Linked DNA regions of Drosophila melanogaster. The protein of the gene in region 1 interacts with the protein of each later gene in a pairwise test. Each region holds a gene or a part of one and is shown on either strand. Other genes may lie near its edges. The genes, in order: CG31999, Hel89B, eIF4B and CG7745.

Evidence for each region.
Region 2: the proteins of CG31999 (region 1) and Hel89B interact in a two-hybrid assay, tested with the Drosophila melanogaster proteins (one large-scale study listed by BioGRID).
Region 3: the proteins of CG31999 (region 1) and eIF4B interact in a two-hybrid assay, tested with the Drosophila melanogaster proteins (one large-scale study listed by BioGRID).
Region 4: the proteins of CG31999 (region 1) and CG7745 interact in a two-hybrid assay, tested with the Drosophila melanogaster proteins (one large-scale study listed by BioGRID).

The regions. Positions count from the first base shown.
Region 1 is NC_004353.4:223,756-230,477, reverse strand, and holds the start of CG31999 (uncharacterized protein), read left to right. Parts: upstream 1-2,729; 5' UTR 2,730-2,802; intron 2,803-3,927; 5' UTR 3,928-4,643; coding exon 4,644-4,716; intron 4,717-6,038; coding exon 6,039-6,533; intron 6,534-6,591; coding exon 6,592-6,722. Other genes in the region: yellow-h, read right to left, coding at 79-567, 907-1,573, 2,238-2,473.
Region 2 is NT_033777.3:15,970,336-15,976,909, forward strand, and holds the start of Hel89B (helicase 89B), read left to right. Parts: upstream 1-2,962; 5' UTR 2,963-3,489; intron 3,490-6,229; exon of another isoform or gene 6,230-6,329; intron 6,330-6,574. Other genes in the region: mor (moira), read right to left, coding at 1-594, 658-988, 1,039-1,963, 2,144-2,269, 2,361-2,477.
Region 3 is NT_037436.4:27,854,772-27,861,017, forward strand, and holds the start of eIF4B (eukaryotic translation initiation factor 4B), read right to left. Parts: upstream 3,501-6,246; 5' UTR 3,433-3,500; coding exon 3,420-3,432; intron 3,165-3,419; coding exon 2,013-3,164; coding exon of another isoform or gene 2,005-2,012; exon of another isoform or gene 1,937-2,004; coding exon of another isoform or gene 1,932-1,936; exon of another isoform or gene 1,595-1,931; intron 1-1,594.
Region 4 is NT_033778.4:11,305,559-11,311,524, forward strand, and holds CG7745 (uncharacterized protein), read left to right. Parts: upstream 1-2,320; 5' UTR 2,321-2,388; coding exon 2,389-2,539; intron 2,540-2,597; coding exon 2,598-3,967; 3' UTR 3,968-4,271; downstream 4,272-5,966. Other genes in the region: Fpps (farnesyl pyrophosphate synthase), read right to left, coding at 72-253, 314-540, 601-962, 1,022-1,233, 1,307-1,401, 1,703-1,884; nompA (no mechanoreceptor potential A), read right to left, coding at 5,093-5,109, 5,601-5,788, 5,858-5,966; CG43114 (uncharacterized protein), read left to right, coding at 5,298-5,358, 5,416-5,549.

The DNA.
Region 1 (6,722 bases):
TTTGTAACGGACGCAAATACCAAGGTTGTTCAAAAATTTACAACATTTTGTTGTGTAATTGTTTATTTACCATAGTTTTCAAAAACACTGTCCTTCTTCTATCAACACAAAAGCTGACTTTGATGTATTAATATAACTATTATCCGGATTGCAAACACTATTGCGAATAATCTTATTTACATTCGCCTTTAAAATTCGAAAATTTACTTCTCCATAATCTAGATTGCTGTATAGAAAAATTGGTAGTCGGTTACTTATAAGCCATACATTTTGATCTTTTTCTTTGTCTACTTTTAAATCATTTGGAAATTGAATAAGATTTGAGTTTTCCATATTATGAAATTTTCCCAAATGTGCTCGAGTGTATGGTTTCGATGTATCCCAGCATCCAATATCATCTTGATGAACTTGTGTAAAAAACATAATGCCATTCCTTGTAACTCCTGATGTAGATGATTGAGAATTATATCCGCGGTCTCCAATTGGTATGAAGTACTTGGCGTACTCTTGAGTATTCGTTTGCCACACAGATTCGTTTAACAAGATATTCATAGGCACCATGAACTCCTAAATGAGAAAGTATTATAATCACAATTATTATTATTATTATATCAGTTACTCGTAGAGTATAAGGGATTGCTAGTTTGGTTAATAAAAATAAAACAGAAATAAGCCTTTTCGGACCCTACAAGCTGCAGATAATTAGCTTACTTAAGATTTAGATTTATTTAAGTACCTTAAGTAAGACTGATCAAGTAGTAAGCTGTAGGAGGGGTTTTTAAAAGTAAGTCGGCGAGCCATTATTTAGACAATAAAGACAATGTTAAGAAAGGCATTTTTTAAAATCAATATCAAATCAATTCCCAGCCATTTTCTTGTCTTTATTTATATACTCCTTATACTCACCTTGAAACTTGCCATTGGATGAAAATAAAGAACGCGTTCCATTATTTTCTTATTGTAATATATACTCATTCCAAAAACACCATCCAGCCATTGAAAATTTAATCCGTATACATTAAAATCCGAAGCAAAGGGATCCGGATAAAAGTTATAGTTGGTCACGCGCCAGCTGCGGTTTTTTGATAGGCTGTAAACAAGTAGACCAAATCTCCATACATCCGATACGATAGCATGCGCATCATCGCAATCTTCTCCAATATCCACAACAATATTGGAGTGCAACGAATCTTGCTTCACATGAGAAGCTTCCAAATTGTATCGAACAATCAGTTCGTCACTTTTAAGATCATACACAACAATTTTTGGTGGGCAGATCTGATTTAAGTTTATTGTAGCATTGACAATTCCAGAATCAATTAGCCAAATTCGATCACACCTATCTACAGCTGTTCGATAAACTGACATCAGTTTTGAGCAGTCAGGATTGTTTGGATTTCCATGAGCCTCCCAGTTTGGATACGGCTTTATTGCCGGGCTTGACTCTTTTGGAGGAAAGGGCAGTGTACCTAAGCTAGCAGGCACACCATTCTTCCAACGAGGAGTTGTCACAAACAGGCGGTTATTATGGACATCAATGCCTAAAGGTAAATTATTTTTTGGTACAAAGTCTCTGTAAATATTAATATATTATAATAATTAGACAGTAAATTCAGCGCAGTAGAATAACACATAAAGCCAGATTATGATAATCCTTTATGTAACAGTCTGTAACAGCCAGAAGGAAGCGTTTCTGACCATGTTCTATATGGTCATATACAATATTCTTTATAAGGATCAATAGCCAAGTCGAACTGGCCATGTACGTCGATCTTTATTTGCATTTGCATTTTCCCTAGCTGTGTAACGGGATTCTGATAGTCGGGGATCTCGACTATAGCATTAGAGATAATGCTAGGATTTATTCATCAATATTAAAGATATGGATGAGACGCACTGAATGATTCGAATGAAAAGAAAGTATTTATAAGAACTAGTCTCCTATAGTTTTCGAGATAAGATATTAATTTGTTAATTTTTTTTCGCATTCGCAGTTCCACGAGCTGATTAACGGATATCTGATAGTCGGGGATCTCGACTATTTGTGACATAAGAGCGTCAAATAGTTTATTTTTCGAATTTTCTTTTATACCTCTCACAATACAAGCATTTTAAATTTATTAAAGGCGTATTTTTTGATTTTTTTACTAGTACTACAATTTGTTATTAATATTAATACATTTTTCAAATTATCTCTTGATTTGTAAGAAACTGTTATAACCAAATTGTTTTGTTACCCATTTAAAATAGATTGTTGGCGTTGCACAAAAGTTGAGTATAGGAAATCCAAATATTTCCATTCATAAACGATCTCCAGTTGACTTTCACTCTGTAAGTTTTGCGAAAACGACTGCGAAGTATATTCATAGCCATCAAGTGTTTGGAAAACTGGTTGAACACTTAAGTTTCCATTTAAAGTCTTCGATAAAAAAACTAACTGTGTAATTATATTAAAGATAGTCATAGACTGCATCCTAGCTGAATATTAAATAAATAATTCTCAAAAATGTACTCTATGGAATCAATCGACCAGATCTACCAACGTTTAAAGACTGATTTAATGTATGTATGTTTAAAATATCTTTTACATGCTTGTTGATGCAGATCAGAGCTTTTTTGTAAGGTATTGTGACAACGCTTAAGCTTTGTTTTAAAGCTTTTTCAACTATGTAGGTATGTATCTATCTATGTGTTGTCTTGATCTCCACCAGCCGAAATTGTTTGAATTTGTTCTTTTGTTTCGCATTTCATTCAAACGTGTAGCCTTAATTTCACTATCGGACCTGTCCCAAATTTTAATCGGTATTGAGTTTTACGAGTTTTTTCTAAACTAACCATGAGCAATATAATCCTCAGTATTAACAAAAATTTTAACTTTCATCAATTTTTTCAAATGGTTTTGATTGATCAAGAAAATTTGTATTATATTCAATATCTCAATCTATTTGCTGGCAAAAACAGCTATTATTTCAATTCCATCAAATGATTTATATAAATAAGTTTTAAAAAAATAAATAAATATTGTTTTAAAGAGTGTTGAATGAATTCAAATGTTGACATCAGATCCTTGCATGTAGATTGTTCGATCGTCACTTTTTTTCACATCTTTAAGAGTTGGTTTGGTTTGATGGGTAATAGGGGTAAATAGTCTGCGCCAAAAAAAAGTATATATATTTGTATGTATATATATTTACATATAAGCCACCATTTCCGACCCTATAAGTAAACACTTACATATATATGTATGTTGTTGATCTAGATTGCTAGCCGATTTTAAGCTCTTTGCCCCCGTCGGTCATCGTTTATCTGTGTATAGTTATTATAAAACGTAGGTATGTATGTATAATAAAATATAAAATATAATAAAAAATTCAAATTTTAAAGAGCGGACAAAACGACGGTCACAGTTAAGCAGGTATGGTTGTACCAAAGACACTAGAATAGTGTCTAGACACTAAAATAGTGTCTTTGGTTTTACCGAGATATACATACAGTTTGTCAAGAAACTGTTTGCACACTGTGAAATAAGTTGAATTTTTGGCTTTAATGGTAAAAATTAAGAGTTATTTGCTTAATTAAACGGAATTTTTTTATGAAATTTAATTAAACAATATTTATTATACTAATAAATCAAAAAACAAATTAAAATATTAAATATACAAGTCAAGAAACTCTACACATTTTGTTTTCGTACTTTGTCTTGTTTTTTTTCTTAGAACTAACTCGATTTTTCCGTGGTTTTTGGTTGGTTTGGTTTTTCCGTGGTTGGTTTTTGTATTGCATTTTTACGCTTCTATTGAAATTTTTTGACTTTGCTTGTGAAATTTTGCTGATCGAACGTGCTTAAAGTAAATTATTAAATTTGATAAAATGCCTGGAAAGAGATTAATTGTTTAAGTTACCCAATTAATAAACTATAACCACCAGTTGGGAAAATCTATTCCAGAATTAGTAGAAATGTTTTCTGTATCCCGTACGACCGTCTACAATGTTTTAAATCGCACGGAAAAAGAGGAGAGGCTTGAACCTAAGAGTCGGTTGGCGCACAACCAAAATTATCAAGCGCGTAGACCGCATTATTATACGAATAGTGATTGCGAACCCCCGAATCTCGGTCAGAGCACTTGCTCAGGATGCCAGAGAAGAATGTGACCAAATTGAATGAACATATGTATGTATGTATATTGATCATATCTTAAACGTTTTCTGCTACCTTTACCTAGTTTCAATAATTCACATTGCTCCAATTCACAAAACCTGGGATTAGCAAATAAAAGTGTGTTTAATAAGAAAATATAACAGCAGGTCGTCGAACAATAAACATATTTATGTACGTAAATACATGTAACGTATAGCGTAGGCTTATATACATACATATGTACATACATATGTCAACAGCTTGCTTTGGCCCACACGCGTTTCAGTCTTAAATCCTCTTCGTTCTAAAATTATATATTTGCTATACATACATACAAGCATATACAAACATGCATGTGTGCGCTGCTAAGTGACTGAGATAATTCCAGATAGCGTATGCACATGAGCGTTCTTTATTTTCTCATTCATTGCCTGACCTGTTCATTTAAAGCTCCCATCTTTATATTAATTTTATTTTTTACCCGGATTTGATTTCTGAACCCGTTATGTTTTATAAACTATGTGCTTTTATGTGTTTCTTGATAGTTGGAGGGCATGTCACCACCACAATGGCCAGTGGTAAGTAATGTGTAGTATACTTGCTTATATGTCAATAGATATGAATATTTATATATGTACCTGCCTACTGAAACCGCCCATTGTATATTTTGGGCAAATCTTTAAAATTGTATTAGGTTAGTTATAAAGTTATTAAGTTATAAAGTTATAAAGTTATAAAGTTATTAAGTTATTAAGTTATTAAGTTATTAAGTTATTAAGTTATTAAGTTATTAAGTTATTAAGTTATTAAGTTATTAAGTTATTAAGTTATTAAGTTATTAAGTTATTAAGTTATTAAGTTATTAAGTTATTAAGTTATTAAGTTATTAAGTTATTAAGTTATTAAGTTATTAAGTTATTAAGTTATTAAGTTATTAAGTTATTAAGTTATTAAGTTATTAAGTTATTAAGTTATTAAGTTATTAAGTTATTAAGTTATTAAGTTATTAAGTTATTAAGTTATTAAGTTATTAAGTTATTAAGTTATTAAGTTATTAAGTTATTAAGTTATTAAGTTATTAAGTTATTAAGTTATTAAGTTATTAAGTTATTAAGTTATAAAGTTATAAAGTTATAAAGTTATAAAGTTATAAAGTTATTAAGTTATAAAGTTATTAAGTTATTAAGTTATTAAGTTATTAAGTTATTAAGTTATAAAGTTATAAAGTTATAAAGTTATAAAGTTATAAAGTTATTAAGTTATTAAGTTATTAAGTTATTAAGTTATTAAGTTATTAAGTTATTAAGTTATTAAGTTATTAAGTTATTAAGTTATTAAGTTATTAAGTTATTAAGTTATTAAGTTATTAAGTTATTAAGTTATTAAGTTATTAAGTTATTAAGTTATTAAGTTATTAAGTTATTAAGTTATTAAGTTATTAAGTTATTAAGTTATTAAGTTATTAAGTTATTAAGTTATTAAGTTATTAAGTTATTAAGTTATTAAGTTATTAAGTTATTAAGTTGTTAAGTTATTAAGTTATTAAGTTATTAAGTTATTAAGTTATTAAGTTATTAAGTTATTAAGTTATTAAGTTATTAAGTTATTAAGTTATTAAGTTATTAAGTTATTAAGTTATTAAGTTATTAAGTTATTAAGTTATTATGTTATAAGGCTTTAAAATTATTACCACACTAAGGTATTTAGATTTCGGATATGAAATTGATAAATGACGAAAAAGAATGCTAGCCTCGGGCAAGGGACATCACCATATGGACTCATGTGTTGATACTGACTAAGAATACTTATAGAGTTGAAACCTTTTGATTTTTACCAATATATACTCTGGCTTAAAATATCCTGTGATCAAGCGAAAGTGAAAGTTTTATTTTGTTTTAAGACAGCATATCGGGTTATATACGAAAATGCTGTATAAATGGACTTCGACATGCTCGTACGACCGCCTCTTGCAAAAAAATCGACATAGCCCCAACAATAATCCCGCAGCTCTGGCTTGGACTTTGTCATTCTACACTTGAAGTCTGCTGTTCTCGAGAACTGGACCATCAAGATTGCGAGCTAGGTCGACTGGCTGCTTTAGACGGTACTCGCTGTGACGGAGAAGGAAATGTAACATCTAGCTCCTATGCGACATGTTGTCGTTCTTGTCAAATCGGATTAGCAGTTAAAGCGAGTAAAGCCAATTGCAAAGATCCATTATTTTCATTTATTTTCTTAATTGAATCATACCGAGCGTGCTGTTACGGATCTGCTGACTTTAAAGACCAGCCCGGTATCGACGAAATCGATAAGGCTAATTCTATTACTGATGAAGGTGAATTGCCGTTTGTTTCTGAAGAGGATATGAATGTAACTATTGTTCTTACCGGCGATGGTAAGTATATCTTATTTGTGTATCATTTGAAATCATAATTAATTGTACTCATTGGTAGATGACATATGTGGAAAAATTGAAAACCTTTGCGCTCACATATGCGAAAACACTTTCGACGCATACCAATGTAAGTGCCACCCCGGGTTTATGTTAGATAATAACAACGTAACATGCTCTCCGATGAAAACC
Region 2 (6,574 bases), on another chromosome or scaffold:
ATGGGAAGTCGAAGGAAATGCAGAATGCACTCGTCTTGAGTGCGAGATCCAACGTGCTCGCAGACCTTGTTCCAGTCGTCCTTGTGCATTTCCAAGCCCTCAAGCAACAGCAGAGTCTCCTGATCGGTCCATTCACGAGCCATGCTTGCCGCCGTTCGATTCCTCATGGCCGCCGGCTTCTTTGCGTACTGATCCAGCTTGAGTCCAAACTGGCTCACTCCGGAACTTAATCCTCCGGCAGCGCCATTCTCTAGAGCCTCTGTCTTGATGCCAGTCAGACCACTTTTATCGCCCAACTCCAGGCCGCCATCTTTACCCAATGGCTTTTTGTCCAGATCCAACAGCGTCTTTGCCGCCGACGGCTGTTGCGTCTTTTGCGGATTTATGGACTGTAGACCTGATGGCGTATCCGAAAGAATGTGAAAGTGTGAGGTTGGTGGTGGACCCATAGGGGTGGGGCGGACATCCGCATCGATCTGGTAGTTAATCAGGCCCCATTGCTCCAAGAAGGCGTGTACTCGCATTATGGCGCACACATCTCCGGCAAGATTACGCCTACAAGCTGTGCTGGTCAAATACTCCGTCGGATTGAGCCTGAAATAGATGAGTAACATATTCAAAACTATTTGCTGCAAAAAAAATGGAGCTTCAACTTACCTGTACGTATCAATCATAAAATTCCTGTAGGCCATATAGATTTCTGGTGTCTTTGACTTATTCTTGCTGTTAAAGAATTCCGGCATGGCCCGTTTCTCGATCACATGAATGGAGTTGTAATCAAACCAAGCCGAGTACGAAGGCACGATAATGTGGTGCGTCTGCTCGGTCACATTGTCCTCCATATCCTCTTTGGCCGATGAAGAGAATTCCTGCGTGTTGCTGTTATCACTTGTCTTGCCTGTCTGCGAGTTTTCCCCATCTCCGGTAGACATGGCTTGAGCGGCGCTTCCTCCAGTCATTTCGTCATCCAGATCGGTCATAGTGCCACCTAGATATCAGTTTGTTTAGTCAATGCAGATATAAGATAACAAAACTTACCTTTAATGGGCATCATGTCGTTGTCGCCACGAGATTTACCGCCCGGAGCTGGACTGGCGGTGGACTGCAAGGCGGCATTTGCCTTATGAACCTCCTGAACATTGGGCTCGGCCGGCGGATCATCCAGATCGCGAGTTAAGTCCTCGTCATCATCGTCGTTGCGCGACTTTTTGTGCACCACGGCGGGAGAACGCTTACGCTTGCCCGGCTTTGAGGTGGATGCCGAACTGGCGGGAGATGGTGAACGGCGTCTCTTCTGCTTGCCTCCGCCCGAGCTGGCAGCAGGCTTCTTCTTCTCGTCGCCGAATGACATGATGTCGTCTATGGACATACGCTGTTTGTGCGTCTTCTTCTTGCCCTGTTCGTCAACCTCGTAGTCCTCCTCGGCCATCCACTCATTGTACTGCTCCAGGTCCACGATCCAGGATGCAGACACACGCCAACGTTCCGCCGGTGACTCGGGATTCTCCGGAATGTGATCGGGCAGGTCAAAGTTATTCACAGCCCAAGAATCGTAGGACTCGGGGAAGTAGTACCAATGCAGCATCACATGTCCGCCGCGCTTGAAAATGGGCCGCGCATACTCGTCGGGATGTGGGTCCACCACAGGATAGACGATATGGGTGGCGTCCTCCTCGTCCGACACAATCTCTACCCGTCGATTGTCCAGGATCTCGCGCAGTTTTCCCTCGAAGCCCTTTTCAATCTCCGGCCGAATATAGATGTACGGTATGCGATACAAGTCCGCCTCGACCAACGCCTGCTCAATCTCGATCAGCAGCTGGATGTTGGGATCCTTGCGCGTGGGATTCTTGCCAATGGAGAAGTCGAACTTCTTGCCGCGTTGCTCGGCCCGGAAACGGAACATGGTCGAGAAAATGATGCACAGACCACCGCCGCTCTTGAAGTCCAGAAAGCAACGCATCTGGTGTGGGTGGTACGATTATTAGAGATATGTTTTAATGTACGTAAATCATGTAGCTAAATACAAAATATAAGCTAGTGGTCCAAACATTTGGCCATTGGAGGATTAATATTTACGTGTACACACGCAACACGGGGCACCCTGTCCCCCTCACCAACCACAGGCACTATCAATACTAACCGGAATTCTGGTTGCCGGCGGATCCGCTGAGTTCTTGCCCAGCTTGGCTTCCACATACTGCAGGAAGTGAATGAGCAATTGGGCCAAGGACTCCTTCGTGATGGGCTCCGAACTGTGGGCCAAATACTGCAATAAATACGGTTGTGAGTAAATCGTTTTTTTTTCGCCGCCTGACAGCGCCATTTTTGTTTGCGGCGGCGTTGTTGTTGGCACGCACCTTCTTGCAGTTCTTCTGCAGCCACTGGCGAATCGATTCAAAGCCCTGCAGCGTCTCCGGCGACTGGAAAAAGTCTATATTCGGACTTCCGTCCTTCTTAGGACCCAGTGTGTTCATGTTGCGGCACTTTTGTGGACTTTTTGTCAATTATCTTTTCACTTTTCCACGCCAAAAAGCCAATAAACGCTGCGTTGATAAAATAGAGATGGTATTTAAATCGATGTTGTTGTGACAGTCGTTATCGATATTTCAGCTATCTCCACTGAAAGTTATCATTATTTTAATCTTAGGTTAGGTTAATATATAAACCTATTGGTTGGTGGAAGCCATATATTAAATAACAAGAAAACATATTGGCTGTTAAGAGAATTATATAGACTTCGAAAAAGTTATAGCTAGCTAACGTGTCAGTTAGCTTTACATCTCAGTGGGAACAAGCTATTATGTGAAAATTGCTGTTAAATTCAATAATGCCATCTGGTCACAGTGGCGGTGGTGCTGTATTGGCGTCCCGCTCGCGCCGCCTAAAAACCGATGCACCACGATAGTCAGGCCGCACATATAAATGCGACTCCATCGCGCTAACATGGCTGCTGGGAACCGAAAACTTAAAAATATTGTGCTGTCAGAGTGTGTTTGCATCAGCGTGAAGCCCAGTGTTAAGTTAAAACATTGACTGCCTACGCCCACCAACGACAATTGCCGTAAATCGAATTCTGCCGTTATTCGCAACGCCGGATTCCCATCCGTGTGTCCGTCGCGAGTGTGCCAGTGTGCGTGAAAATAAAAAGTCAATGGTGCGTGAGTGCGAGTGAGTAGGAAGAAAGCAAAAGCGATTGGATTGATTTGTGACGCTGCTGGCGAAAAGCAGTACCCAGTACCCCTTTCCTTGGGCCAAAACACACACATACGTACGGCTATAGTAACTCAGCATCGATTGTACAGTTTGAGAGCAAACAATTCAATTAGAAAATGCAGAGCGCATGAGTTGAATTGTGAGTGGGCGCCCCACATAAGCTGACTGCTACCGCACAACGAAGGGAACTAGAAAGAGGAGTGCGTAGTGCGGAGAGAAGAGCAAATGCGAAGCGAAGAGGAAGAGAGCGAGAGAGAGCAACCATTGCCAAAGGTAAGTGATATAACACTCGGAGATCGGGAGTGGGAATGCGAATAGGAACATAAGGAACCCCTAAATTCTTATCCTAGATTGCAACATTATTTATATGGCAGCAACTTATCGCTTCCGCTTGCTTGTGTGCGTGCGATAGAGATAGATAGAGTGGGGCCAAGGGGCTCTGTTTATTGATAAGAGAGGAGAGCGAGCGAGAGAGAGGGAGAGAGAGAGGAGGTGGGCGCCAACGCAGCAAAACAGCGGAAATCCTTTACAAAAACTTGGTCTACCACTAGCTCTTTGTCTTCGCCTTCTAGTCTCTCTCATCTTGGCAGCCCGTTCTAGTGCGCGTATTTTTAGTCGCAACACATTGCCCAATTCGCCAGCCGCTATTTGTGTCGTCCATTTGTTCATTCATCGGGCTCTTTTTCCGATTTCAGTGGGTGGCATTTAACAATAATCCCTGCGTTCGCTGTCCACGTCCACATTACGATACGTTTAGTGCACGGAAAGAAATAAGCATGTGGTTTCATAATATTAGCTATTGAAAAAAGTTCTTAAATTTAAGCCTCACTCGATTCTGATGCATGAAATATTATTGGATTGTAAATGAGCGTCATGTTTTGGTATACAAATCTCAAAGTAATTTAAAAATTCTCATCTTACCGTACCTTGAACCACTACCAATCATCTCAGTACAGCATTTCAGCGAATTTCTCACTGTGCACTACAATGCCAGGCGGTACAAGCACCTGTATTTATTTATGGTCCGCTGCCGTAATCGACTGCAGTCGCCGCTTCCCTCTCTCTTTTGCTACCAACAACTTGGGGTAGGGCACCTGAACTAGTTTCAAACGGCGGCGGTCGGCCTTTTCAGCTTTTTCGCATTTGCCATTTTCCCGCGGTTCGCAACATCAGCGACATTTGTCACAGTTTCTTAAAGAACATTTGAATATCCAAAGTTTACTTGCCGAACTTGACTGCGGCATTGCGATGATGATGCTGCCCGTTGTTTGTCATTCAGCTCCATTAATTCGATACCAATCAGTATTTCGTGCATTGTGCAAAATACGCAGCAACAGCTGTTCCAATATTGGCCAAATATGGTGCAAATATTGAACTCTTCGCATATAAAAAACATATGGCGCGATCAATGCCGAAATGTGTCATTTTCGGCGAATTTGAGCAGATGACCCATTGAGCCCATAATATGTACTTTATTGAATTTGAAAAATTTGTATTTCCCCAAGCAATAAAAACACAGAACTCCATATAAATCATCCCTTCTCTGGGAATTATGATATTAATAAGTGGGCGGACAATGAGCTAATCTTCCTTAGGGTTAAAAAAAGTACCCTCCATTACAATATAAACTTAGTCAAGTGTGACAAAATCATGTATATATATATTCATATAATTAATTTATTTTCGATGATCAAGCAAGGGAAATAGTCGCGCTTATCTTTAGTGTAAACAAATGACCCAGCATTTCCGCAGGCCCGTTTTAATCTGTAGAATACACATGTCTATTAATAAAAAAAAAGCTCACAGAACTTGCCACAAAAAAAAATTCGAAATACACTTAGCCTATCCTAATCGGTACTTTACGAGAGCCATTTAGTGATAATGAAAAAGTGAACATATTCGTGGCTTATCGTCCAATGGACATGTATGAAATAAATGCGCGACACGCAAATTAGGCTAAAATCAATATGGCAAAAATATCGCCTAATATCATGAACAGCTCGTAACGATTCTCCTTTTTAAGGATTACATTTTGTGACGATTAATTTAAAAGTTGCAAAGAATTTAAATTAATCTGGATTGCTACATACTGTTGTAATTAAGAGAGATTTAGCTACATATGTACGTTCTCACAGTGCGTTTCGTCACCATGACGACCAACCCCATTGATGACTGCGATTTTTTCTATCGATGTTCATCTAATGGAAACTTAATTACCCAGCCGGCGGAGCATTTTCCTGCATCCAATCTAGCCGATCCAATCCCAACCCCCCGCCTCAGTGGGTGGCTTCGACAAGGTCGCTGACAAATCGAAGTACAGCAGATTTGTCGCCGATAAATTGGATTTATGGTTGGTCGGATAAAGCCAAGCGACATGCCATATGTACAAACGATTTCATTATGACTTTTACGTCGTTTTTAATATTATGTATTTCTTTATTGTTTGTGTAAGTGTGTGTGTGTGTGTGCTTTATTGGCTTGATTACTTATGGATGGATAAACATTGTCAATAAATCTGCACGTGCCTTGAAGACTCGCCGTTTTTCGTTATTATTTATTCTAAACGTAAATGTAAATGTATTCTCAAAACGGTTCAGTGAACCGTGGTTTTTGCAATTTCTTATCACTGCATTGATAACAGGCATTCAAAACTGAAAGCGTCGAAAGTAAAAGTATGTGTCACTTTGGAATATCGATAATCTCCTTGTAATAATTCGAGGCGAACGGGCTCTAAACCAGGCGAATCGTTTGGGCCCCTTGGCGTTCGTACGTAATATGGGGGCACTAGTCCGGAATATGGAATATGGAAATGCCGTAATTTGCTCAATTGTCACGTTCTGCTCTAAGCTGTTAAGAACGCCTCGGCGGCCACAACGAAGTCATTATTCGCCATTCGCGTCGAGTGACTCAATTTACACAGCCTAACCCCACTTGCTGGCGGAGCTTAATAATGCCTCCCAGGAAATCCATACCAGTACCGACTAGGTCGTCCATGTCTTTTGCCTTCCTCGACCACGTGTCCAGTCTTTATTGGTCGATTGGATTGCGGTGGGAAAGGCTACATTTTGAGATTGCTACAGCGTCGTCGTGCTGAGCTATGCGGTCATTCTAAGGTACTACATTGTCAATGGAACTAATCAAATCGTACTAATTGGTTAATTTTTAATTTGCAATTATGTCACAGTTCGCGTGGGTATAAATCTTCTTTGGACGTAAATACTTAATACTTATACTTGAGAAATGTTCTATGTCGACTCGCATATTGGATATTTGTTTTTTTTAGATGTTCCATCTTTTTATCGACCACTGAGTAATAGTATTAAGCAATTTAGTATGGTTGCTAACATTCTTATTTATT
Region 3 (6,246 bases), on another chromosome or scaffold:
TCCGGGCTCCAGATTTACATCTTGCAAAATTTAAAAGTTATCACTTGCTTTTATGACCGAGACTTCTCCCAGCGCAACACATTAGGCCACTCCATGACATAGACTGGATTAGCTACGAAGCACTATTTGGGAAGTGTACTTGTATATTTTTGGTCATTGTATTGTTAAAACGTCCTCTAATGCATATGGGAGCATCACCTTCTTAAATGTTTCGACGTATAGATAACGATCAGTGATGGTTTTGATCCTATAAGTCACCTAAAATACTAACTTGAGTCACTGCCGTCAAAACAAAAATATTTTCGCCTTAACCGACCCCAAGATTTTACTCCTCTGCACCAATTCAAGCGATCTCACGCAAACCTAAATCATTAGGCTTCATGTTTTTTTCTGAGTAATGCCGCTTTTTTTTTTTGGCCTCTTGAAATGAGGATCTGGATCGAGTCGTCTTCTAATTACTAATAAACTTACATTTTTCGAAGAAACAGACCCGAAAGTCGGAATCCTAGATTGTCCTCCTAAGCAACGATCTCACCTTTTGGTCAATAACTGCTAAGTTACTAAAGTGAAAAAATTTAATTAATTAAGTAAAGGAATGGAGAAAATAATGAGAAATAACTTTTTGCTTGACCGGCTTTAGTATTATTTAGACCGCACCCGTGCATACATATTGTATATACAGGGTGCGGCAGCAAAACTTCCTTTTTTAAATGCGCGCCATTCAGTTAGTTGATGTCATAGCGGAGCACTAATGGCCCCGTTCAAGAGGGGCTACTGCAAAGCTTTGTCCCGACACGGTTCAGTCGCCATCTTGCGTTGGAATAGTGAGGAGCGCGCCTTTGCCGTTGTGGCCTACTTTTCAAGCGGATGTTCGGTTATTAAAACACAGCGTGCATTTCGGTATCGCTTTAATTTAGCACTGTTGGCTCCTGTCCCTGAACGCAAATCAATTGTTACATGGGTCACTACATTCAGGCAAACTGCAAGCGCGACAAAACGAAGAACTGGAGTCCCTCGACCCGTTAGATCACCTGAGAACATTGAAGCAGTGAGAGCGCCAATATTGCGATCTCCACAGCGTTCTGCGCTCAAACACGCGTCTGACCTTTGACTATGACTATCCGATCGTTCTGGGAGAAGAATTCTTTATGATGACCTTAAATTCCATCGGTATGAGATGGCGATAGTGCAGGAATTTCACAACGTGTTTATGTGAACCGTCCAAGAACGCTAAAAGAGTTGAAAACCATCATCATCATAACACCTGCTATGCTAACAAGAGTCACGACAAACGCCAGAAATCGGTTTACGCAATGTATGGAGAATGGGGGACGTCACCTATCAGATTTCATCTTCAAAAAAATATAAATAAAAACTTTGGAACTACATTTACATTTACCTAAATTATAAAAATAAATAATTATTTTCCGATGCCCACAATAGTTTATATTGAGTTCTGAAAGAAGGAAATTATGCTGCCTGTAGCATATCAAAAATTTAATATGGAGAACACACATTATATACAATACATATGTATCTGAAGTGCACATTACTAATATTAAGTATTATATATGAAAATACCAACTATTTGAATAATTTTGTGCAACTCGAATTTTATTAATAGAATAATACAAGTTAATTATGATTTTTTTTTAAATAAAATATTTCCAGCTTGAAAATCGTGTTCTCGCATAAGTAAGCCCGCATACAGTATTTTTTGTGGTTTGGGTTTTAAGCAATGGTATAATTTACAGACATCGCATTTTTTGTCGGCACCCAAAAAGTAGGTGCACGGTGAAAACCAAATATATAGGAGATACGTTATTGATTATTTGCCAAATTACGGCTTCTCCCACATTTTCGAAAAATGTTAATTTGTTGTATTTTATGTGGCGTTGTATATTTCCTCCTCCTCTGATTATTTATTATTATTATGCTTTTTGATTAGATTAAAAACTCAAGTCAGATAAAATTCACTTCTACATTCAGACAAATATTTAGATTTTAGTTACCTGGACACTTATTAATTTTGTCGCTTTCCTTGTAGTCCTGATTCGTGCGCCAACTAACTGTTGCACTTAGACTTTCATTATCATTTTTATCCACCTGGAGCTCGGCAAGTTTTTCATTTAAACCCTGTTCTCTGCGCCCCTTATCCTGTTTTCGAGCGAGAGCCAATCTTTGCTCAATCTCCAACTCCCTTGCTGCTGTATCTACCGGTTTTGCAGACCCAAACACGTTTAATGATGAAGTTCCGCCTTGTTTATCCAAATTAAATTCATCAACGTCACATTTTTCGAATTCAATTGTCTTTACATCTGGCAATGGTAAAGTTCTTGGTTTTAAATTCAATTTTGGCCTTTCTTCTTCAACTTTGGATGTCTCTTCTCGGGAATATCTGTCTGCTATTTTGACTCGACCTTCGCGATATTTTTCAGATACTTGTTCAACTTCTCTGCGTGTAGGGGAAGTATCAATAGATTGCGGCCTTGCGCTCGTGCGCCAAGATCCAGGAGTGTTCACATCATCTCTATCTGGTAAAGATTTTCTCTCTCTATTAAAGCTTCTTTCAAAATTGGAAGAATAACCAAAGTTACTGCCGTTGTTTTGGCTGTCTCGCCTCCAATTTCCGGAATCCCTATTATCTCCATTATTTCCAAAACCATCAAACCGCCTATTACTTTTTTGGCGGCTTTGCTGGTCGTTTTCATTCGATAGCTCAATGCGAATGCGGCGACCTTTAATAGAGGGGTCTGGCAAGCTAAGTACATGAATTAAATCCTCTCGATTTTCCAACTCCACATAGCCAAAGCCTCTGGAACGACCATTTTCGCCATCTTCTCTTGGTAGTCTCAGAGATATTAAATTAATACCTTCAAAGAACTCGTAGAGGTCATCTTCATTTGCGTCAAATGGTAAATTATTGATATAAGCAATAAATGGGGCTTTATGAGGAATAGAATTATCGTCGAATATCCGATTTGCCCTCGGAGCGGTTGGAAGCTGATAAACCAACGGCAATGTACCACTTCCATCATCGCTATCATCGCCATCTAAATTTCGTATTTTTTTTGAGACTTGGGTTGTTCCGACTGGAGCGTCAGAATTACATAGAAATGATTGCAAGGAGATAACTGTTCCTTTATTCTTTTTGCCCTTCTTTCCTGAAAAATAAAATAAAATATTAAATTGAAATACATACTTAAGTAGAAATGATGACCAACCAATATATACAATAAAATATTATGTTAAGCAAGATTACACATATGCATGCAGGTGGACATGTGTTCCTTTTACATTACGTGTCAAGAAAAAATCCATGCGGAACCACACAATCTCACAATTAAATTACTACCTTTTTACAATTAATAAAAAAAATTTAAACTTTAAACTTAGATATTATAAAAAAAATTTCTAACCTGCGGACGCCATTTCAACCAATGTTTCCAATCTTTAATTTTGATAATTTACCGAATTCACAAAAATAGAGAAATCAATTTTCCTATATCGTTATCGATATTTATTTCGGGCTTAACTGCACTATTTTGACAACTGGTAATACCCAAAACCCAAAGAGCACATCCTAAAGAAACAGTTGGAAATTTTGACATATGTGAAAATCCGATACTTAGAATAAAATTGAATATTCCAGTAAAGTTTGATGACTTTTCTGTTTTTATTTTAAGCTCAAATATTAAGACACAATTTACTATGTATGTATATGTTTTAATCAAAGTTACTTGTCGCTCTCTTTCAAATTCGTTCATTTTTGTATGCTTTTTATGGCTAACATTGACTATGTACCGTAGTACGGAAATGTTTTCTAAATATGAATAGTAAAAAAATTTGTTTATTTGAACCTTAGTGTTAATATTTTTTTTCTAAATATGAAACAAATTTTAATACATACAATATAAAATAAAATTGTATCATGTAAATTCTTAGCACGATAAATTACTTAGTTTTGTTTTCAAATATAGTTAATAATAGCCTACTCGCTGCACAAGGCAGCTTTGTTGGAATGTAGGAATATAGAGTTCTTTAACAAAAAGCCAAAATTAATTTCCATGATTATGTGGAGCAATTAGTTCGTTTCAACAATTGTAGTACAGCTTACAATGATTTTCTTTTAATAGGGCCTGAGTGGTGTAAACTCCTGCATTTGACAATATATTATGAGCCTAATCATAATCTAACTTGCAGTCTAAGCTGGCGATGTTCCTTATTCCACTTTCCATTTTTTGCGACCCAGTGGAAAGTTCGGAAGAGTTTGTGAGAAATAATTGTTGTGTAGTGATATTTTATCCACATAACAAGAAAAAAGGTTGTTTCCATAACATAAACGCGTGCATGGTTTTCAATAAATTACAATGTACTATATGTATATACCCGTTACTCCTAGAGTAAAATGGTGTATTAGATTTGTTGAAAAGTAAGAAAAAACGTATCTTACGATTTCGATTTGCAATCGAAAAATCGGTGCTGAGGTTTTTGAAATGATAACAATTTTTCGATTTGTAAAACCGGCACTTTTGTCTGGCCGAAATGAAAAGTAAATATCTTTTTTATATCAAAAAATATAAAAATAGTTTACTCAGTAGTCTTTTGATGTTTATTCCACATCACCATAATATCATTCTCCCACTTAGTTATGTTATTAAAAATTTATTTCTGACCCCACCTCAAATTTTACAAACAAAATTTAGTAGCCTGTATATTCTTAATCAGGATCAATAGCCGAGTCGATCTGGCCATGTCCGTCTGTCTGTCTGTCCACTGTATCAACAACGGGATCTCTCAACTATAGAAGCTAAAGAGTTGAGATAAAGTATACAGGTTCCACAGACATAGAGCCCACTCTAACGCCCACTAACGTCCCAAAACTGACACGCTCTCACTTTTAAGCAATATACATATATAACAATAATATATCGAAATTCCAGAAAAATTATGACATTTCGCGTTCGCAGTCCCAGTACATAAGTAACGGGTATCTGATACTCGGAGAACTCGACTATTGAATTCTCTCTTCTTTTATATTATTAATTTAATTAATTAATTAATTAATTTATATTAATTAATTGTATTAATTATTCCCAATACAGATTTTTGTCTTTCGTCTATCATAGTATAAATAAGCAAAATAAACCAACACGGCTACTGATCAATTTATATACTTCTAGTTGAATAAAATATAAAAAGAGAATGCTTACAGAAGCATTTATGGGAATGCATCCAGAATTCCGGAATAATTCCACTTCCAATGTATTACAACAAGTTACCTTTAATGATTGCTTCTATATTGTTGATTGTAAAATGAATTCATTTCCTGAAAATTATACTCGAAAATAAAGTATCTTAAAGTACGTTCGTTGAAAGTATGTAACAGGCAGAAGTACGCGTTTCCGACCATATAAAGTACATTTGTACATTCTTGATGAGGATCAATAGCCGAGTCGATATGGCCATGTCCGACTGTCCGTAGAACGTCGAGATCTCAGGAACTATAAAAGCTAGAAAGTTTGCGATTCAGCATACAGTTTCTGGAGATATAAACGAAGCGAAAGTTTGTCGACACATTTTGCCACGCCCACTCTAACAACCGCACAAACCGCCCAAAACTGCCACACCTACATTTTTGAAATTTTTTTTTGATATTTTTTTCATAATTTTATTAGCTGTGTAAATTTTTATCGACCTGCCAAAAAACTTTACCGCGCCCACATTTTTGAACCATTTTTGGATATTTTTCATAGTTTTATAAGTCGTGTAAATTTCTATCGATTTTTAATTTTTTCTCATTTTATACCCCATATCGATATCCCAGAAAAATTATGAAATTTTGCTTTCGCATTCACACCAGCTAAGTAGCGAGTTGGGAAAGTCGGGGAACTCGACTATAGCATTCTTTCTTGTTCTGACTCAGTACTTACGATAAGCAAATGGTAAAGCGAAAACAAGCAGAAAAACTAGCGCAAGCATTTTTGTTGTTGCGTTTCTCTTACCTGCATTTTCAATTTTGAATCGTTAGGTTCGTCAGTATTTTCTTGTGTCTCCAAAATATTTTCTGAGTGCTTTTAAATTTGTCTTTTTATTATGGAAGTAAGTATCGTTTTATTAATAAACTGTACAAATATTACATTTTATTTTTTTTATTTTCTACTTTATTGTTATACCCGTTATTCGTAGAATAAAGTGGTACACTAGGTTCGTTGAAATGTATGAAAAAGGTAGAAGGAAGCGTTC
Region 4 (5,966 bases), on another chromosome or scaffold:
TTCATCCATGTAAATGCTAAAACTACAATTTAATTAAAAACGTATCCGTAAAGTCGTTGCGCTTGAGTAATTTAGGAGTCACGTTGGTAGATTTTGTTGAGTATTTGCAGGAAGGTCTGGTGAGGCACCCCGCGTGAGGTTTGTTGTATGTGCGTTTTAATCATGTTGTAGGATTCCTCCTCGAAAATGGCATAGGTGGATGGCAGTCCAAGTTCCTTGTACAGTTCTTTCACTCGCTCCACTTTAGCTGGTTCTGCAGGTTAATATTCAAAAGTCAATGTCTAATTGTGCGGGTTTGCTAAGCTAGTTTTACCTTCTTTGCCATAGCAATCGACCATGATTTGCTTTTGCTCGACATTGGCTCGCTGCATTGCCACCACTGCCAGCCACGAGCACTTGTTGTCCTGAATGTCGGTTCCAATTTTACCAGTCACTTCCGGATTACCGAAGCAGTCGAGGAAATCATCTTGAACCTGGAAAAAGTTGCCCATTTCTAGGAGAATGGTCTTCGATTGACGGAAGGCCTCTGCGTCTTTATAGCTAAACAATAGAGCGGAAGATTAATAAGCGGAATCTTATATATGTATGGCCATTACTTACCCAGCCAAGTGCAAAGCAAGTGCGAATGGAAGGTAGAAGGAGTAATAGGCAGTCTTATTTTCGACAATTGCTTTGTAGTTTTCCATTGTGAATTCCGAGACACAGCGGTTCGAGTTCAGTTGGTCCAACGATTGTCCGCAGGTAGTGATGTATGTGATTTCGTGGAAGAGCTCCATTAGGGCGACATAGCAGTCCAAGTGGCTGAAGTGCTTCTTGAGAATGGCATACATGGCGTTTTCAATCATAAGAGCATCGTTAATGGCAGTCAGGCCCACGTTCTCCACCTTGTGCCAGCAGGGTTGGCCGCGTCTGGTGGTGCTGTTGTCCATCACATCGTCTGAGATGATGAAAAAACTTTGGAGCTGAAAAGATGATCGATAACTTTGTATTAGGAAAACTATTTAATGCATAAAACTCCTACCATTTCCACACACCAGCCCAGATACTGGGCGAGCTTTATGTTCTCCGGCGTAAGATCCTGGGTGGGCACTAGATTCTTATACGTGAGCACGGTGAGGATGCCGCGGTTCTTCTTGCCCCTGGGCACATTGTACTGGAGGACTTGGGCGAACCATTTGGCTGCGTCGCTGCAATTGTATGCCTTCGTCACGGTGGTGATGTCACGCACAAGATCTGCACATCGAAATATAATTAGCATTAGTATTTGCATGATAATTGTTACTGGGCATAAATAAACAAATCTCACCTGGGAACACGGCCATAAAGTCGCGACTCTCATCTTTCGACACCGTGACGCGAGCGGCAATGGGAACCGAGTGATTTTGGAGCGTCGATAAGGTTCTGTGGACAAAACAAAAGTCAAGAACAATAGAGCCCATAACTGACACCACCAGGCAGGCACAAATACATACACACACACATGCACGCATCTATGGTCTACGTGACTGCATAAGCGGCTCGATACAAACTTTCTCCCCCACTTGAAATCAAGAAAAAAAGACCCCGAAACTCCTTTTCGAAAATCACGCCCAAAACAGGCCTCCGATACATGCATACCATGCCCATGCCCATACCGGTCGAAATGTAAACAAAACAAACAGGCAAGGCAAAGGTCAAGTGCGAAAACCGGTAGATTGATTACCTGCTAGTCTTCTTCAGCTTCTGTTCGTTGACCAGTTCGGTGGGGAGGCCGCCAATGGTGTCCATGGACTTGATGATGGGCTCTGCGTTGACCTCGTCGCTGGTAGAGATCAGGCGTTGCAGGCGCAGCGGGCTGGCCAGGATCCGCTGCTGCGGCAGGAGCATACGGGCCAGTTTAAACATTTTTATTTAAGATTATCGGCAGGTAACTATCCGCTTCACAAAACGGCAATTCAACTTCGGGTACCAAATTGCCAGTGTGACTGAATCTCGGTTCGCAAAAGAACCCACCTTAAAATTTCAAATAACCATAATACGTTTATAGCAACTATTTTATAGCTGACTTTTATTTTTCGAGAATTTTGTGAAGGTAACTTATAAGTTAAATTTTTAAACATTTTTATTTAGTAAATTCAGGAACAGCAAATGATTTACTTTTGCTGAAATTATTAATTTTATTGCGTGTTAATTAATTAAATGCATTACTATATATAAATCAAAATGCTGACGAATTTAAACATGATGCAAATTGTCGAATATATTTCGATATCAATATCTTCAAATTATATTTGACACTCTGCTGCTACATTTTCGGTCACACTGTTTCGATGTCCCATGAACAGTGTTGGAAATGGCCTGACATACACCAAAGGCAAATTGGCAGCTGAAAACACGAATTAAACTAAAATGATGGATGAGCAGCTAATTGACGAGGTAGCGCAGCACGGAGTGATCTACAACCGGCAGAAGTACTACCTCAACGGCGGCGCCAATGGTGGCAAGTACGAGACGAAGGACGAGGCCTGGCAGCTGATTGCGATGAAGCTGCGCACGGATGGTGAGGAAGACGCGCTCCTCCGGCAGATCCTCTATATAAATGTTGCCCTCCTTTCCAGTGGACACGTGCAAGAAGCGGTGGAAGTACCTACGCGAACGCTACGTGTCGCAGCGGAAGCAGGGCGATCCACCTGTCTACGAACACCTGTCGCGTCCATACCTGGAGAAAATGAAGTTCTTGGACCAGCACATCCAGCCGCGCAAGTCCTACCGCCATGTGCCGAACTTCCTAACATCTCCACAGTCCGCCAACAGCTCCGGCTACAACGAATACCAGGTTGATAAGTCCAATGGCTCCATGAAGAATGTGTCTCAGTTTGGCAGCTCAGGGCAAAGTCATCTTTACCACCAGCCGGATCAGCAACACGCAATGAGTGCTCTGAGTAACGTTGCTGCATCTGCGCTGGAAAACGTCAATGGCCAGGTGAAGATCGAGGCGGACCAGGTGTTCAGGGATTTTGCGGCTGCCGTGGCCTCACAGCAGCTCCAGCACATATCACAGTCACAAATGCAGCAACAGGCGGCGGCCGTTGCAGCTGTAATGGCTGATTCCTCGCAAGGTTATCAGGATCAATACAAGGATGGCTCCGTGGGCATGAACGGGGCCCAGAACAGCGCTGGCAGTCTGACCTCAACATCATCCTCGATGAAATCACCGCTGTCGTCGCCGCTGCAAGGAATTGGGGCAGGATCCCATCATCCTCAGCAGCAGACGCAACAACAACAGCAGCAGCAGCAGCAACAAGCGCAGCAACAGTCGCCGGCATCTGAACAGCAGCTTCCGGTGGTACATTCCTCTTCCAGCGCCACGGGCGCTTCCATCGGCAACAGTTCCACTCTGCAGATGCAACAGTCACATGTCTATAACCCCAAGGGCGATGGTCTAGACTCTTCGTCATCGAGCCATTTCCATATGAAGAAACCCCGTATTCAACTAAATGGCAATGCCCATAACCAGATGACCAGCAATGGTAGTCACTTTGGCAATGACTCGGACGACGAATCCGATGAGAACAGCCATGATCTGATGGAGCCGCAGGCTATGATGCAGCAGGAGAATCACTACAGCAATTCGATGCCCATGCAGCGGGGCAATGGAAATGGGAATAACAGTAGCAGCAATAGCGGGAGCAACAATCCCAGCGGCAATAATAGCCACAACAACCAGCAGCAGCAACAGCACCAGAACATGTTTCCGTCAAACACGGACTTCCTTTTCCAGTTATACCAGCAGTTCCCACATCAGGCCAGCAGTTCGCATCCCGCAAACTTCGGGAAATTCCAGGCGCCGCCCAATCATCCGGGTGTGCAGCGGTTGTCTGAGCATTTGCTGGGAGAATTAGTCACCACGGAACTGCTGAAAATGAACAAGGAACGGAAGAAAAGTGCACAGAAACGGATCCTAGAAATACTATTCTTCGACGATTAAAGGGCTAGCTACTAGGTATTTGTAAATAATGTAATCTATTATCCTTAACTTATGTTATTCGTTAGACGGTTGTCAGATAATAGTAATTGCATCGCTTTGGTCAAATTTCCCACCAATGAGTCATTTGCAAAGCTCTACGTTCTACCGAACACTTTTCAAATGTGCTAGTCAAGACCAGCAATTGGGATTCCATATCTGCATTAATTTATGTTTTTTTATATATGTTTAAGAATATAATGATCGGTTTTAATTTATTTAAATTCTTATTAAAGTGTACTCAATGGAAAAGTGTCTTTCCAATGTGAAAATTTGCAATTTATGTGTATTTGGGCATTTTTGTTAAAAGGGGTCAGGAATGGATGCTACGATGCTTTGTGGTAAGTTTTCTCTGGATGTGATCCATTTTCGCATGCTGATAGTGGAATTTTCGGCACGAAAGTTTACAACCGCATATGCGAAAGTAGTGTAGTCATCATAAAGAAAGTAGTTCCTAATGATATGTAAAGCTTCGTGACCCACTGAGGTCCAATTTCAGTTATGTTCAGTAGCCGTCCTGCTGCTTGATTTATGAGTGGCCTTTGACCAACCCTCCGATTACCCACAAAGCGGGATGCAATTGCAACTACTAAGACCCGCTGGCTACTGTCTGCAACGGAAACTGCCACTGCAACTGGCAATTGGCCTAGCTCGTTAACCCTCGACTGGCCAAGCGGCCATTCAAAGTGCCACTGCAATTGCAATCCTGTACGTTGATTAATGACCGATCAGCTTTGCATTCCTCTGGGCAGAACGAAAGTCTGTGGTGATATGAATATGTTTAGGCTTTATTGCGTTTCATATCTTAGCTGGTAGAGAGAATAATTACTTGCTTGTGTTTTCTGTTGTTAGGCTTAGATAAATAAGATCATAATATTTGGATACTGGTCAGTGGTGCAATTCTTAGGCTACTTAATGGACCACCGAATATTCGAGGGTCCCACGCATTTGGCTAGCGTATGTGTTTACTTGTCGGATTGTCTTTGATTAACTGAAGTTAAAAACCTTTAGCTTATTTACAACTAATCACAGGAGGCTTGGAGTTGCAATCTCAGACCTCCTGATTGTCCTCGGACTCGGCCACCATGGTCAGACTTCGCAGCGATCTGTGAACGAAACAAAACACGACCAAGCGTTAATCAGCTAGCTTAATATTATTATTCCAAATATTTCGTAAGAGAGCCGGCGGAGTGATGAGTTCAGATTCATTTGACTGATATGGTTTGGTTTATCGCCTTCGCAGCCAGCCATCCAGCTTGCCAGCTTATTAGTCGAAATCTGACAACTCATCAGCATGGACTACCTACGCGTCTGTCTGCTTATTTTGTTAGTCTGTTTAGTCGGTGCCCATGCAAGTGAGTCTGATTTCAGTTGGAGATTGTGCCTAACTTGGGAGTTAACTTCTGGTTTAGTTACAGGTGAGATGCCCACGTTCCAAGGCCTGTGCCAGTTGCAAGGCGACTGGTGCACTACCAACTGCCAGATAGCCGGTGGACGGGACGGACTTTGCAACAAGGTGGGCCTCTGCATCTGCAGACCCTTGTAGTGGTGCTAACGTGACGGTTAGACAAATCGGAATAAAGGCGAACATATTTACAATTGCGAACGGTGGTCGGGAACTCATTCTGCGGATGTGTTACACTATGGTCCGCCACTTGCCTGGAACGCTCGAAGAGCGAGGGATCCGTGTAGATGGGCTCGCTGGGATCCTCGAACTGGTGGCTGCTCTGGTTGGTGCTACGCATCGGATTTATCACTGGCAGCTGGCACATGCGCGCCAAATTGCTGTAAAGACATAAAACAAACAACCCATAAGTGGACCGGTTGGACGATTGGCGACTCGCCGTTCCTCACCCCGTGGCAAATGTCTTGTGTAATGAGCCGCCGAACATGGACATGTTGGTGCGAAAAGCGTTTGAGGCCCGATTCGATGCGCTCTGATTGGCTCCGCCCCCAGTTCCTG